2 linked regions of the Kluyveromyces lactis genome follow. The protein of the gene in region 1 interacts with the protein of each later gene in a pairwise test. Links are inferred from orthologs where the notes say so. Each region holds a gene or a part of one and is shown on either strand. Other genes may lie near its edges.

Evidence for each region. The genes of interacting proteins can lie anywhere in the genome.
Region 2: the proteins of SOP4 (region 1) and EMC5 interact in binary tests that used the Saccharomyces cerevisiae proteins (3 or more experiments, as listed by UniProt). The link is inferred for Kluyveromyces lactis from reciprocal best matches to the Saccharomyces cerevisiae genes SOP4 and EMC5.

The regions. Positions count from the first base shown.
Region 1 is NC_006038.1:665,424-668,183, forward strand, and holds SOP4 (Sop4p), read left to right. Parts: upstream 1-1,465; coding exon 1,466-2,170; downstream 2,171-2,760. Other genes in the region: KLLA0_B07623g (40S ribosomal protein uS11), read right to left, coding at 526-535; BPH1 (Bph1p), read left to right, coding at 2,440-2,760. UniProt on the Saccharomyces cerevisiae protein: Involved in the export of PMA1, possibly through the monitoring or assisting of PMA1 folding and acquisition of competence to enter vesicles.
Region 2 is NC_006042.1:2,570,979-2,573,386, reverse strand, and holds EMC5 (Emc5p), read left to right. Parts: upstream 1-1,332; coding exon 1,333-1,743; downstream 1,744-2,408. Other genes in the region: cohesin subunit IRR1, read left to right, coding at 1-972; anaphase promoting complex subunit CDC26, read right to left, coding at 1,891-2,232. UniProt on the Saccharomyces cerevisiae protein: Part of the endoplasmic reticulum membrane protein complex (EMC) that enables the energy-independent insertion into endoplasmic reticulum membranes of newly synthesized membrane proteins.

The sequences.
Region 1 (2,760 bases):
TTGATCAGTGAGCTTCTAAAATAGCTAGAACGGGAGCTTTGATCCCCAGACTCCAGTGAGCAGGTAATAGAACACTTGATGTTAGAGAAATATCTCCTTTATTCAGTGCTCCATATCAATCCCATTTGTGATAATGTCCTCATTATCATCGAATTATCCGGATATTTATCTGATTCTGTTACAGGCTGAAAGAGTCGTGCAAGCACTTTTACAAACGTAAGCTTCCTGCTTTGACTGTAAGGAAAAATACCTGAGATTCTGTGGTGAAACACCTACTCAACTTGGGTACTTCCTCCTTCTTGTCGTTGCATCATCACTAAAATACTGTTTGAGATAGCACTATTGAGATTGAAGAAAGTGTTAACGTTACAATCCATTACAGATAACTAACATCGACACGACTCCGCAAAATCACACACGAATACACTTATCAGAGTAATCCATACTTTTTCCAATGGTTTTTATCCATCCTTTCTTGAAGAACAACTAAAGGGTTTTAAACGGGATACCACCCCTCGCACGTACCGTTAGCCATTCTTGATATGTTTTTCTGGTCTCTGAGGTCTAAGCTTAAACAATAATAAAGTTAATGTTGATATATCCAAGCTTATACATGTAATAAATGATAAATTCATTAAAATCATTGACAATTTGTTACTATGAAAAATTGAAGCTGACCTTTGGATATTGAAACCTACGATCTGGCAAAAATGTGTCTGCCATTCATTTTCCACATTCTATCTTGACAAATTAGGAAATTCTTAACATAAATGAAATTCGAAAAGTAATGAAAGCCATCCCTCTTCAACAATGTCTGGGTGTTTCAGAAATTAGACAGTCCCGAAATTACTGTAGAACTCCACGGTTGTTAGATTGGCGAACCTATGTCAACAAGAGAGAAAGAGAAAACTATACGGCGCAAGTTTCTGTATATATCATCTATTGAACGTTTACTAGATGGATAAGGAGGGAATGAGATGTCGGGCTGTATGCATATGAGTAATTGGTCCTAGACGAACAATGTTGGAAACATCTTTCGCAGTATAGATCACTCCATTAAACATTGACAGCCATTTTCAAACTGAAAGCTTTAATCTCGAACCAGGTTGTAGAGAAGATATTGTCTGGAGAGTCACAAATCCACTACAATAATACCTGTTCTGAGGAATGTACGCTTTCTTATGACCTGATCAAAACGGACGTATCTCAACTTACTGTATAGTATTGTTTATAATAATGCATCTTATTCTCATCTTTTATACTAAATTTTCTTGAACGAACAAAATGAAAAAGTTCAAAAGTCAGATAAATCCGGGTAATAATATTAGTAACTATTCTTTCTTCTGGAAATGAATCTCGAATGGTAACTAAGACGCATAAAGAAGTTAATGATAACGGTAAAAACACTATACTCTGAGACTGAACTAACGTATGGCAATTAGTTTACTCCTCCAAAGAATCGGGGATGAATTTTGTACTTTTTTGCTTTCTAGTTTGGCAGTTCGTAAACCCAGGTGCTGCATTCGATATTAAGGGCAGACTAGATTTGAAAGTTAGGAACGTTTCGAGACATGATATATCGAGAACCTATTTTAACCTGTACAGGATACGGAATCCCAATGATGACTCGGAATGGGATTCATATTCACAGTCATCAAAATTGGAGAATATCAATGGTGAATTCACCTTCAGCGATGTTCCCATTGACACTGGTATCAATAGGACGACATACTTCACATTACATTCGCATTCCAATGAATTCAATTTGAAACCCAACAGAATACTGATACAAATTGTAGGTAACGGGCAAGATCAGGAACCTAACCTCAGCGCCTTTGAGAACAGATTTGGCAGAGAGTATTTCCCATCTCCAGATATTACATATCCCGAAACTTTGAATCCATTACCCTTGGATTCTGCAAACCGTTTAACAATAACAACGATGAACAAACAACCATACAGAAAATATATAAAGATAAGAAATCCTGGAATCCTCGAGAGTGGTCCCATTGCCAGTGTTTTAAGATCAAAATTCAAGCTAGCAGGCGTCGTGACAGTGATATTTTTAGTTTTGTTCCCTATTTTGTTGGAGAAGTTCGATCCTGAGACTGCTAAAGCTATGAGACAAGAGAAGATGCATAGAGAGAACGCAAAATATGTTTCAAAATAGCTTTTTCGTTGAATGGTGTATGTATTACACTTGTATAAGTTACGAATATCTTGCAAATCTTATTCATCTTTTGCACACTTTCCTAGTTTTTGTACTTTATCTATGAAAAAAATAAACAGCTAAGAAATTAGGGAAACAGCTTGAGAAACAAACGAACAAACACTTATCATAGTAAGGGCGAAAAAAACCCAAAATACGTTCACTCACTTATAGATTAGTTGAATTTCTGCTAAGAAAATATTATACTAGGGAATGACGTTTGTAATATAATGATCCAGGAGTACGTTACATTATTAGCTCAGGTGCTTAACTTGGTTCCAGAGGATGATTCTGATCTGATATCTATTTTATGTGATATTTGCAATTCTTACGAAAATACAGCCTCTAAAGATGAGCTATATACATACACAACGTTTGAAATAAGCCAGAGGTTTAATAACATCGAGCCAACGGAATTGAATTTTGTATATGATGACACATCGAAGTGGGAGAAGCTTTTATCTCATCAGTCATCGGAATTGAGCTACATTATCGCTTTGCATATAGTATTATGTCTCATTGAGAATTCAATAGTGAACAAACAAAGTTTT
Region 2 (2,408 bases), on another chromosome or scaffold:
TCATTTGACATAAAATCTGATAATTCAATAACAACATTATATCTGCAATATGTTAACAAACTTGTAATTTTGGGTAAGGAGTTCGCAATTGAAATTTCAGAAACGCTTTTGGATGACATTGTTGAAAAATTCTTGAAGCCGTTGAGTGAATTACTACCAAAGATTGATTCGGATGCCATATCTGTCCTAGATTTTAAGCTTTTCACCTCAATAGTTACTTGGAATTTAGCAACTTGGAGAGATGTTATCAAAAATAATGAAGAACCTATAGCTGTTTCACATACTACGCTGAATCAAATTAGAACGGTATTAGTCGAATTGCTGAATCTTTCTTCAAAGATCGATTCTAACCCTGAAATACAACACGACAAGAAATTCCATGTGCTTCATGTAATACTCTCTCCATTGTTAGATATTATCATTGCATTCAAAATGTTTGAGCTCGATTTGTCAGAAAAGGATTCCGATTGGATAAGGGCGTTAAGGCAAGAATATTCAGTTATCTCTAACGAAGATCTAACTGGTATTTGCCACAAAGTTTTCCTCTACCTTGAGAGTTGTCTTGGAAAATTTTTGGGAATAACTCTAGATCGAGTGGCTGATGAAGATGTAAATTATGGCGCTGTCAACTTAGTCGATGTTGATGGAGATCCAGAGAAGGAGCTTTGTATCTATACCATTAAATTGAAAGGCCTCATCAAACTTGGAATTCTAAACTATAGCGATTTAACTACAAGAATTGGGTTAAACCAAGAGAAATTAGGGCCATTATTTGAGAGTGTAGTAAGCGAAACGGTTTTCGAAGATGAACCGAAAAATAACGCTGAGAGCCATCCTGCAGCCAAATTAAACCAAGAACCAGTACCCCAACAATATGATGAAGTTCTTGAACCAATTGAGGAATTCACTCAGGATGAAACAGTTCATTCGCCTCCGCACCCTGCAGACCCCATTGTTTCATCACCAATCTAATCTTATTGGGGATCCTACGAAATGAAATTCCTGCGAGTGCATTTAAATCAGTTTATTTTTTTTTTTGGTGAATTGTGTTAAACATAATACATAAAACCTATTACATGGCTATCGATAACCTAAGCTCTCCTCAATCATGCGGCTGTGTGTCAGTACTGCATGCTATCTCTCTTTTTTACCTAGATAGTTTCTCTTGTCGGAAACTCTATAACACTCAGAAAAAAAAAAAAACGGAAAGGTTATTCAAGAATACCAAACAAAATATAGGTAGTATAAGGTTCAACTGGACAGATCTAACATAAATAGGCTTTGTTACTTTACTTAAATACTACTATTCACCGTTTTATCTTGGAATCAACAATGTCAATACTTTCCAAATCATTCTACTTTATAGCGTGGATACAGATTATTCATTCTGGTGTGTCCAGCTATGAATTTCATCAGATTGTGAAACATATCATTCTAGAGAACCCAGACGCTAAAACTCCAGGTTTACCAGATGACGTAAAATTGGAGGCACTATGCGGGTTATTATTCTTTATTTTGGGTACATTTATCAGTCAATCCAAGCTTAAGTACCTTAGTATTCGTGGGGAGGAACGAATAATTGAGACAGATGAGTATCTTAAACCTATCGAATTGAACAAGGCGTCCAGTACAGATGTAGTGATAAACAATGATCCTTATGGGGAAATAAACTACCTTCCTTCATTTGTTGACATCCATGCTAAGAGGAAACTGTTCAAAGAATACCTTCATCGCAGTTTGTGAGTTGATAAAGATTGGTAACTTAAACGCATACATATATATAATATGTACTGGGGAATTACATAATATAATGACTTTGCAATAATAACTAACGGGAGTAGATACAGGGCCGATAGCCAATATAGGCACTTCACCAATCACATTAGGACGTCAGTTATCATTGTGATTGTACGTGTAAAAGGGATTTGGAGGATCCTGTGTACTCTGTGTACTATTTTGTTCAATGAATCGAGGATCTGATGATGCAGACTGTTTATATCGCTGAGGTGGCGTCATCTTATGCAATGAGTGTGATAAAATATCATTCCGTGTCGCACTTGGGTTAGAAATGCCTTCTATCTCTGCTAATCTACTCATTTTTGCAGATGATTTCAAAAGATCTTGATGTTGCGTCTGTATCTCGCGTTGGAGCTTGTACTCTTCTAAATGTTCTTGTAGCTCGGAAATATCATCGGAAGTCAAGGATAAAACTGTAGGATCACGCCTTAGCATAATGGTTGGTATTTATGCCGATTCTATGTTATAATTCTACGTTATGCTATATAAATTGACATCTTAAGAAACTTGACTGCTTTTGTGTTATTAAATTCGGTTGATGAAATATGATGCGAAAGGAAAAGCAAAACCTTCACATACTATTACAAATGAACGTATCTAACACAATATGA